Linked DNA regions of Oryctolagus cuniculus. The main gene of each other region encodes a partner of the protein of the gene in region 2 in a complex. Links are inferred from orthologs where the notes say so. Each region holds a gene or a part of one and is shown on either strand. Other genes may lie near its edges.

Region 1 (3,647 bases), on a different chromosome or scaffold from region 2:
TTTCCGACCCCTGGGTGAAGCCCTGGCTGGCCCTGAGTTGGTGCTGCAGGTGGTGGCACTGGGCAGCAGCCAGCCGCGGAGCTGGTGGAATGTGCCTTTCCCGTCCGTAGGACAGGCGAAGGGTCTTTGTGTCTGACTGCTCGTGTGTGCACGCGTGTGCTCCGTGCATCCGTGCACGTGTGCCTGGCCCCACGCTCACTGCACGTCTTCTTTTCAGTGTAGAGAACTCGACCAACAGTGCCGACTGCTCCAGCAACAAATTTGTGTTTGGCCAGAACATGAGCGAACGTGTCTTGGTGAGTGGCCGCACTTGGAGGCCGGGAGGCTTTTAGCCGCAGGCCCAGGTTGAGGGGTGCGCGGGGCGGCCACCACGCCCCTGGGAGGTGACGGTGCTGTCGGTTGTTGGAGATTCAGCCTAAAGGTAGGGCAGCGCTGTGTTGCTGAGCCGGGCTGGTGGTCAGGGTTCTGCATCCTCCCGAGAGGCCAGCCGAGGTGCTCGTCCTCGGCCGTGTGCTGCTGGGCCACCGGAGTCCAGGGGACAGGACCTGGGTGCTCCCTGCCCAAGTCTAGGAACGCAGCTGCCAGCACCAGCGACGACTGCCGGCCCACAGCCCACCCAACCCAGGAGAGGGTTCTGGGTGCGGCCTGCTCCCTGTGTCCCTGTCCCTTCCCCGGGCGAGCGCACAGCCCCGCAGTGCACATGGGATTGCGCCGAGGCTGCGTCCCTGGCCCTCCGAGTGTTCCCGTCGTCGTCTGGGTTCACGTGGAGCGCGTGCGCCTCCTGCTTCTCTCCCACAGCAGCGCGCTCTCTCCTTTTTTTTATTTTCTCTGAGGTTTTTGTTTGTTTGAAAGAGTTACAGAGAGAGAGAGACATTTTCCATCCTCTGGTTCACTTCCCAAAAGATTGAAAGGACCAGGGCTGAACAGGCCAAAGCCAGGAGCGAGGAGCTTCCTCCAGGCCTCCCACGTGGGTGCAGGGCCCATCACCTGGGCCGTCTCCCACTGCTTTCCCAGGCCATTACAAGGAGCTGGATCAGAAGTGGAGCAGCCGGGACTCGAACCCGCACTTAACCCGCTGCACCACACCACCAGCTCCGCTCGTTCTCCTCTTTCTGTCACGAGGACGTGTTCAGGGAGTTGCCTCACGCAGGCCGCCACACAGGTGGCTCCAGATGACAAGGCCCAGCAGAGCCAGGAGGGGGCGTGTTTGGGGCTCCAAGCGCACTGCGGCGTGCTCCCCTGGAACGTGGAGGAGCCCTGTAGGGATGGGGCTCGTGAGGCACAGGGACCAGGCGGACGGCTGCTGAGGGCCGCTGCCGCGGGCCGGGGCCAGGCGTTGGCACCAGTAGCACACAGCATGCCCTCCCCCGCCTGCTTTGCTTCCCCGCAGAGTCCCCCAAAACTCAGCGAGGGCAGCTCCGAGGCCAGCAGGGAGCACGCTGCTGCCGACTCTGGGTCCGAGCCCTCGTCCCAGGAGGCCACCCCCGAGAAAGGTGCGTGGGGGCCCTGGCTGCCCACGGGGGTCGGGTTGGTGTGGGCTGATGTGTGACCGGGGCACAGGGCTCTGGGGCTCAGCACAGACAGGAGCTGTCCCTTCAGTGCCAGGGAGGGCTGTGCAGCAGCCAGCACCCTCCTCCTGCCTGTCCCTCGGGAGAGTCTCCCGCTGTCCTCTCCCAGCGGGGACCTGGAGACACAGCGCCGCCCTGCAGAGGCTCCGGCTGGGTGGCGGGGGTGTGGGGGCCTGTCCAGACAGCTCGTCCGGCGTCCTCCAGGCCAGAGCCAGCCTCCTGGCCCCTGCGTGGCCTGCCCTCACGAATAAGGAGTGGCTCTTGTTTAGTCGGTAACGTTTCAGAGTCCCTGGCCGAGTCAGCGGCGGCCTACACCAAGGCCACGGCGCGCAAGTGTTTGTTGGAAAAAGTGGAAGTCATCACCGGGGAGGAGGCGGAGAGCAACGTGCTACAGGTGAGGGCTGCGCGGGCCGGCCCCTGGCCCCCGGCCGTGGCCCGGGACGGGAGCTGTGTTCTGAGGCCTGCTCGAGGCAGGGCGGGGATAACACTGCCATAGGAACAGGACCAGCACTTCCGCTTGCCCCAGCATTCACAGCTGTCCCCGGGAAGGGTCCTGCCGCCCGCCCCCATCTCCCCTCTGCATGCACATGTCTGTGTTTTAAAGTATCCATTTCTGTGGAAGGTTGTATTCTGGAAATTCGTGTGTGTGTGTGTGTGTGTGACAGAGAGCTCCCACCCACTGGTTACTCCCCAAATGCCCACACGGCCAGGGCTGGGCCAGGCCTGGTCTCCCACGTGGGTGCAGGGGCCCATCCCCTCTGCCCCGCAGGGTACACCCAGCAGGAAGTCAGCTCAGAAGCAGAGACTTGGCCCGCCGTGCACGCCTTCCGCCCCATCCGCCCCATCCGCCCCATCCGCCCCAGTGCAGTGGGTCCCACTGTGCTCACGGATTGTGTGGCCCTCGGCACATTCTCGTCACCCAGAAGCCCCACCGGTCCCCGTAGCAGTCACTCCTCAGCCCCTGCTCACCACAAACCCTCCTGTCGGTGCCTGGCCCTACTGTGACGTTCCTCCAGTGGAGCCCCGCACCGTCTCCCCCGAGACGTCCTCCGGGGTCTGCCACGCGGACGGACCACTGCCGCTTTGCCCTCAGCAGCCGGTGCCTGCCTCGTGTGTGCTGTCTGCTGTTTCGAATGCTGTGGCTGTGCCCGTGGCGTCTGCCTCTTCTGCGGAAGTGCTTTTCGTGTCTGTGGGGTGGGCTTTCTGAGCCGGGCGGTGACTCCCTGTCCCCCTGCTGCGCCCCGTGGCCCCCAGCCCTTCCTCCCTCAGTGTCCGGTGGCTGTGATGTGGTTTTGCTGTGATTGTACTTTGTGTCTCTTTCGTGGCTGTCGTTTACCATGGCAGGATAGAGATACCAGCCCAGAGCAAGGGGCTGCCCCTGGTGGTGCAGGTGGCTTAGGAGGAGAGACGCCGGGCCCCTCCTCAGCAGGGCCCCACCGGGGCCCCCGCTCACCCCGAGGGCCCCCGTGTGTGTTGCAGATCCAGTGTAAGCTGTTTGTCTTCGACAAGACCTCGCAGTCGTGGGTGGAGAGAGGCCGGGGACTGCTCAGGCTCAACGACATGGCGTCGGCTGATGACGGGACGCTCCAGTCCCGACTGGGTGAGCTGCGGCGGCTGGGCTGCTCCCGCCTCCTGGAGGTGGGCAGCAGGGTTGGGGGGGCTTGGGGGAGGCGTGCTGCCCCCGCCCTTCCAGGACTCTCCGTGCCGAGGGAAGTCTGTCAACTTGGAAGCTCACTTTGCTGAGACGAGTGGCAGCTCCGCGGTGGAAGGAAGAGGCGGCAGTCCCTGGTCCAGGGCGGCCCCTTCACAGGAGACCTCGCTCGCGCGGGGGGGGGGTCCTTTCACTGAGGCCAGAGAGCAACTGTGCGTCCCACTGTGTGTCTCACGCTGGCTGGCCGTGAGCCTGGCCTCGTGCCCTAAGGTTTTCCTTTACAGTGAGGGCTGTTTTTCAAGAGCTTCTGCCCGAGTACTGCGCTGCAGCTGGTGCACGCACCCTCCTCCCTGTGCGGGCGTTGAGGCCGGTCCCGGTGCCTTCGTTACCGCTGTGGGGCACGCTTCTGGGGCCGTGGGAGCCGCGGG
Region 2 (3,647 bases):
TTTAAGCGCCAGATAGTCTGATTGAATCAGATAGATCTTAAATATTTATATAAGCATTTTTTGTTTTTGGTTCCTGAAAGCCACGTTCCTTGACTGAAGTATAAATTTCAACATTTTTCTTTTAAAATATTCATAAAAAAAGATTAATCTCAAAGTTATACTACCACTAAAAAACCAGACATCTTCATTTACTTTATTCAGAGATGCATTATGTTTCTTTACCTCAATCTAGGTGAGATTCTGATTACATTTATCTTTATTTTTTATGTGCCTTGAATTTCTCAAGCCAGTCTATATTGTTGTTTTTAGTTACATATTTAATTAATAATATTATTTACTAAATAGTGATGTTTATTAGAGTCATCTTGGGTAGACATTTAGCAGTGTGTTCTTAAGTCAAGCCATCAAAGAACTAAAGATAAAACTAGTTAACTGCTTCTACAAGCCATAACTAAAGCACCAACATTACATTTAGTTGTAATTGGTAAACTTACAGAATACAAACTTTGTCACAAAAGAATATATGAAATCTAGTTTGATTTAAATCGTGATTTTTTCCCCCAGAAACCTTTTATTTAAGGTATATAACTTCATGCATTTCATAAATACAACTTTAGGAACATAGATATTCTTCCCTTCGTACCTGCCCTTCCACCCTTCTTCCTACTCCCTCTCCTATTCCCATTCTTATTTTTTACTAAAATCTATTTTCATTTAACTTTATACACAGAAGATTAACTCTGTACTAAGTAAAATGTTCAACAAATAGTATTAAAAAAAAAACTGTTACTCAACAGTTTTTTGATTTCTCTTTGGATTTTTTTCTATGACCCACTGTTCATTCAGGAGCATGTTTTTCAATTTGCATGTGATCTAGAGATTCTTAAGTTCTTGATTTCCAACTTCATTCCATTGTGGTCAGAGAAGATGGCATAGTATGATTTTGAATTTGCTAAGACTTGCTTTATGGCTTATCATGTGGTCCATCCTAGAGAAAGTTCCGTGCACTGGTGAGAAGAATGTGTATTCTGCAACTGTAGGATGAAAAGTTCTGAAAATATCTGTTAGATCCACGTGGTCTATAGTTTTGATTAACTATTTCCTTGCTGATTTTCTGTCTGAATGATCTTTCCATTTTTAAAGTGGGGTATTGAAGTCCCCCATTACTATTGTATTGGAGTTTTTTTTTTTTCTCCCTTTAGATCCTTAACATTTCTTTTAAATAGCCAGGTGCCCTGTAATTAGATTTGTATACATTTATTGTCACATCTTCCTGTTGAGTTGAACCCTTAATCATTGCATAGTGCCCTCTTTGTCTCTTTTGACAGTTTTTGTGTTAAAAACTGTTTTGTCTGATACCAGGATGGCTATACGAGCTCTTTTTTGGTTTCTGTTAACGTAGAATATCGTCTATGCTTTCACTTTCAGCCTGCATTTATCTTTGTTGGTGAGATATGTTTCTTGTAGACAACAAGTAGATGAGTTTTATTTTTTAATCTATTCAGCCAGTCTGTATCTTTTATCTGGAGATTGAGGCCATTTACATTCAAGGTGCCTATTGGCCCTGATGTTTTCCATAAATATTCCTATTGCTTACTTTTTATTTCCTTTGTTCTCGTGCTGGGAGATTTTCTTTCATAGTGATGACTGTGTTTCTGTGTGTAGCACATCTTAAGCATCTCTTGTAAGGCTAGATGAGTGGTGACAAATTCTTTGAATTTCTGTTTGTTATAGAAGGTCTTTTATTTCACCTTCATTCCTAAATGAGAGCTTTGCCAGGGTACAGTATTCTGGGTTGACAGTTTTTTTTTCTCTTTAGACTTGGAATATATCTCACCATTCTCTCCTAGCCTGCAGGGTTTCTGATGAGAAGTCGGCTGTGAGTATAATTGGAGATCCTCTGAAAGTAATCTGGAGTTTCTCTCGTGTTCATTTTTTTACTGTGGAGAGTTTGAGTACAATGTGTCATGGTGAGGATCTTTTCTGGTCATATCTATTAGGAGTTCTATGTGCTTCTTGTACTTGGAGGCCCCTTTCTCCAAATTTGGGAAGTTTTTCTGTAATTATTTCACTAAAAAGGCCTTGTAATCCGTTCTCTTTCCTCACCTTCAGGAACTCCTGTGTCCTGTATGTTTTGTGGTTTGATAGTATTCCATGAATCTCCAACACTGTTTTTTAATTTTCTTATTTCTTCTTTTTTTTTTTTGGTCTAAAATCTCCAGAGATTTGTCTTCTAACTTGGATATTCTTTCTGCTGCCTTACCGAGTCTGTTGTTAAGGCTTTCCACCACATTTTTTATTTGATCTATTGAATTCATCATTTCCAATATTTCATTTTCATTTCTCTTTAAATTCTCAATTTCATGGGAAAATTTTTTTATTTGTGTCATGTATATATTACTTTAATTCGTGGATTTGCTTCTGATTACTTCTGAGTAATCCTATAATCTATAATTTAAATTCCATTTCCAGCATTTCTTCAGTCTCTTCATTTTCACATTGTATTTTTGAAGTGTTGGTGTGTTTCTTTGAAGGCGTCATGTGAGAGAAGAAAACAAGTGGTAGAACAATCTTAGATTAATTGTATGGTTAAGAATTACTAAAATGAGAAAATATTCAAATGCTCTTTGAATTCTCATTTTACTCATTAGATTTTGGTAGATACAGTGTGGGCCCTCTCTTACCTTACTGATGCTGGCAATGAACAGATACAGATGGTAATAGACTCTGGAATAGTTCCTCATTTGGTTCCTCTGCTCAGCCATCAGGAAGTTAAAGTTCAGGTAAGTTTGTTCGTGATAAAAAATTTTAAGTTTTTCTAATAATAATTGCTGTAAACATGACATTCAGAGCCAAACAATTTCAATAGTTTAAAGGATATTCTTAGCATGACAGCATGTCTGTGATGGTAAGAGTAAATTATTTTATTCCCATTTTAAAGGTGGAAAAAAATGAGGTAAGGATACTACAGCTTGAACCTACCTTTCCCCACCCTCTCTGAAAAATACATATTTAGGAAGAGACTCCTTTGTAGAATACAGATTTGTATTATAGGCAATTCAGTTTAGCAGCTTGAGTGCAATCAAACAGGTGTTGATACTTAGAATTCCTACTCCTTTTCTTATTTTTCTTCCTCTTCCACAGTCCAATTCCCCCCACCCCCCATTCCGCCCTGTCCCTTTTTACTGATCTGGAAAGTTTGGTTCGCTCTTAGCTTCACTGGCACTTATAAAGACTTTGTGCAAAAAGGTTTTGTGCAGATAAATGCTACTTAGCTCCCTAAATTGTTTTCACCATCTTAAACTTTTTTAAGCTTGTTTTTTTATTTTATTCAATTGTTCTTAAATCCTCTTACACAGTATTTATCTGAAAGAACCTATATGTAGTGTCAAAAGAGAGGATGAGAAGTTCACACAAATAGAAGTAATAACTGTCAAACTGCAATGGTAAAGGGATATGCAGCATGTTCTCTAATTTTCTGAGGTAAATAGAATGTTTTATGTGGCAATGACTTAGAGTCTGTAAAGTATAGTAATAGCATAAGAAAAACTTAACCTAAGTCATCACTTAGCCTTGGCTGGATAACGAGAACAACTGTAAAACTTTAAAAAGAAAGTTTTTTTTTTTTAATTGTTCAACTCCTAGAG
Region 3 (2,588 bases), on a different chromosome or scaffold from region 2:
TCCCGTGGGCCGCCCCAGGAGTGGCTCAGGGCCGCCTTCCTCACCCTCACACCTCAGGCGCCCCCAACACTGCCGAGCTCAAGATCTGCCGGGTGAACCGCAACTCGGGGAGCTGCCTGGGCGGGGACGAGATCTTCCTGCTGTGCGACAAGGTGCAGAAAGGTACACAGGAGGCAGGCAGGGCCGGCCTCGCCGGGCGGGGAGGGGCAGGGCTGCAGCCAGTGGACCGCGGTGCGCTGGGCCCCGGACAGCTGACCCCCACCCCTCCCCCGTCTCGCAGAGGACATCGAGGTGTACTTCACGGGACCGGGCTGGGAGGCCCGAGGCTCCTTTTCACAAGCGGACGTGCACCGACAAGTGGCCATCGTGTTCCGGACCCCGCCCTACGCGGACCCCGGCCTGCAGGCGCCCGTGCGCGTCTCCATGCAGCTGCGGAGGCCCTCGGACCGCGAGCTCAGCGAGCCCATGGAGTTCCAGTACCTGCCCGACACAGGTACACAGCTGCGGTGGGAGCAGGCCCGTCCAGCGAGGCCGGAAAACCTAGGGGCCGAGCTCGGGGTCTGCGTAGAGCAGTCTCGGGGCTGGACGGCGTGTGCGTGGTGAGGGCGCGGCTGCGTCAGCTGACGTCCTGCTGCGAGGGGCCGCGTGACAGGAGTCAGAGTCCCCAAGTCTCCCTGAGCCCGAGGAGCAGCCGGCACGCATCGCAGCACTGCCCTCATCCTCGTCTGGCAGAGCTCCTGGGGAGGAGGCAGCATCGCGCCGGCCGCAGCTGCAGGGCCGGCCAGCGGCAGCCGGCACCGTGCTACCCGGCCGCCGTGTGCTCTGGTCTCCGGTGCCGCCTGAGCCCGGGGCCTGAGCCCCCTGTGTGGACAGAGATGAGTGCGCCGCGTGCCCTGCCCTGTCACGTGAGGAAGACACATGTGGACGAGGTCCTGGCGTCACAGGGCGACACGCGAGGCGGAGGTGGCAGCTGGAGCCCTCCAGCGGGCGCGAGGTGGCGTTCACCGTGGAGAGGGGCGCAGCTGTGCCGTCTGCAGGCAGGGCGAGGGCAGGTGCACAGCCTGGCGGGCAGCTGTGTAGTGGGAGCCGCTGGCAGGCAGGGAGCAGGCCCAGGCGGGAGGGTCTCGCTAGGCTGCAGGCCTTTGTCCGGGCTTCTGTCGTATGGCAGTGGGGAGCCACGTGCAGGGGTGAAGGGGAGACTCGGGCGGGGTGGCCTTTGGAAGAAGGTGCCGGAGTCCAGGGAGAGGCTCAGCCCCTTGCGGGAGGAACGGCTAGGCCAGGCCGCGGCACCTGCCGGTCCGCTCGGCGCGCTTTGCCAGGTCCCCTAAATCAGACCCCCCACCCAGCTTCCGGGGCGGTGGCCACGCTTCCTTGACCCTCGGCGTTCCGGGCCGGAAGCTTGGGGTCTGTCTGCGTTCCCGTCGCTGTGTCACCTCTTGGCAAGCAGGCCCCGGTGTGCTCACTCAGGCCCCCGTGTGCTCACTCAGGCCCCGTGTGCTCACTCAGGCCCCCGTGTGCTCACTCAGGCCCCCGTGTGCTCACTCAGGCCCTGGGCCAGAGGGGCCTGGCACAGACGGCTCGGGTGCCCGGAGGGCACCGCGGGGGCGGGGAGTGGGAGCGAGGCTGGGTCCCGGCTTCAGCTGCAGTGCAGTGGGCGCGCAGGAGGCGCGGGCTGTGGGGCACCTGCTTTGCCTTCATTTACTTGAAAGGCAGAGAGCGATGGCCGGCACCATGGCTCACTAGGCTAATCCTCCGCCTGCGGCGCCGGCACACCGGGTTCTAGTCCCGGTCGGGGCGCCGGATTCTGTCCTGGTTGCCCCTCTTCCAGGCCAGCTCTCTGCTGTGGCCAGGGAGTGCAGTGGAGGATGGCCCAGGTGCTTGGGCCCTGCACCCCATGGGAGACCAGGAGAAGCACCTGGCTCCTGCCATCGGATCCGTGTGGTGCGCCGGCCGCGGCGGCCATTGGAGGGTGAACCAATGGCAAAGGAAGACCTTTCTCTCTGTCTCTCTCACTGTCCACTCTGCCTGTCAAAAAAAAAAAAAAAAAAACACATTTAGAAAGGCAGAGAGCGAGTGATCTTCCGGCACCGGGATCCAGGCTTTGAGGAAGATGAGGCTGGCTCCGGCCGGTCTGTGGGATCAGAGACCCGAGAGCTGCGGAAGAAGCAGGGAGGGCCACAGCGGTTCTCGGGCAGGGCGGAGGCGGGGCCGGGCCGGGCAGCAGCCGAGTGGGAAGGAGAGCTGCCCGTGGCTTCAGGGGGCCGCATGGGCTCTTGAGGGAGGCTCCTGCTGGGGGGCCTGGGGGGCGGGTCTCCGGGAGGCCTGGCCCCTCCCCCACCCAGGGGAGGGGACCCACTTCTCGTTCTCCCAGACGACCGGCACCGCATCGAGGAGAAACGCAAGAGGACCTACGAGACCTTCAAGAGCATCATGAAGAAGAGCCCTTTCAGCGGTGAGGCGGCGGGCGGAGGGGCAGCTGGGGCAGCCGGGGGGGGCGGGGGGCCTGGCGCTGACCGCGTCGCCCTGCAGGACCCACCGACGGGCCGGGGGGGCGGGGGGGCCGGGGCAGCCAGGGGGGGCCGGGGGCC

What was found.
Region 1: the proteins of KPNA4 (region 2) and RANBP3 are in contact, whole or in part, in a crystal structure (PDB 5XZX), measured with the Homo sapiens proteins. The link is inferred for Oryctolagus cuniculus from reciprocal best matches to the Homo sapiens genes KPNA4 and RANBP3. Residues at the interface, in NP_002259.1 of Homo sapiens: Arg96, Leu99, Ser100, Asp102, Arg103, Pro105, Phe133, Trp137, Thr140, Asn141, Ala143, Ser144, Gly145, Thr146, Ser147, Thr150, Glu175, Gln176, Trp179, Gly182, Asn183, Gly186, Asp187, Asn219, Trp222, Val225, Asn226, Arg229, Asp261, Trp264; in NP_015561.1 of Homo sapiens: Asn114, Tyr115, Cys116, Pro117, Pro118, Val119, Lys120, Arg121, Glu122, Arg123, Thr124, Ser125, Leu127.
Region 3: the proteins of KPNA4 (region 2) and RELA are in contact, whole or in part, in a crystal structure (PDB 7LF4), measured with the Homo sapiens proteins. The link is inferred for Oryctolagus cuniculus from reciprocal best matches to the Homo sapiens genes KPNA4 and RELA. Residues at the interface, in NP_002259.1 of Homo sapiens: Lys231, Asp271, Arg306, Asn310, Val312, Thr313, Gly314, Thr315, Asp316, Thr319, Lys344, Glu345, Trp348, Ser351, Asn352, Ala355, Glu387, Trp390; in NP_068810.3 of Homo sapiens: Lys301, Arg302, Lys303, Arg304, Thr305, Tyr306, Glu307, Phe309.

What each region holds. Positions count from the first base shown.
Region 1 is NC_091447.1:60,411,410-60,415,056, reverse strand, and holds part of RANBP3 (ran-binding protein 3), read left to right. Parts: intron 1-217; coding exon 218-296; intron 297-1,390; coding exon 1,391-1,493; intron 1,494-1,837; coding exon 1,838-1,962; intron 1,963-3,047; coding exon 3,048-3,168; intron 3,169-3,647. UniProt on the Homo sapiens protein: Acts as a cofactor for XPO1/CRM1-mediated nuclear export, perhaps as export complex scaffolding protein. Bound to XPO1/CRM1, stabilizes the XPO1/CRM1-cargo interaction. In the absence of Ran-bound GTP prevents binding of XPO1/CRM1 to the nuclear pore complex.
Region 2 is NC_091435.1:120,225,786-120,229,432, forward strand, and holds part of KPNA4 (importin subunit alpha-3), read left to right. Parts: intron 1-2,651; coding exon 2,652-2,783; intron 2,784-3,647. UniProt on the Homo sapiens protein: Functions in nuclear protein import as an adapter protein for nuclear receptor KPNB1. Binds specifically and directly to substrates containing either a simple or bipartite NLS motif.
Region 3 is NC_091432.1:6,042,602-6,045,189, forward strand, and holds part of RELA (transcription factor p65), read left to right. Parts: intron 1-57; coding exon 58-162; intron 163-280; coding exon 281-493; intron 494-2,371; coding exon 2,372-2,452; intron 2,453-2,588. UniProt on the Homo sapiens protein: NF-kappa-B is a pleiotropic transcription factor present in almost all cell types and is the endpoint of a series of signal transduction events that are initiated by a vast array of stimuli related to many biological processes such as inflammation, immunity, differentiation, cell growth, tumorigenesis and apoptosis.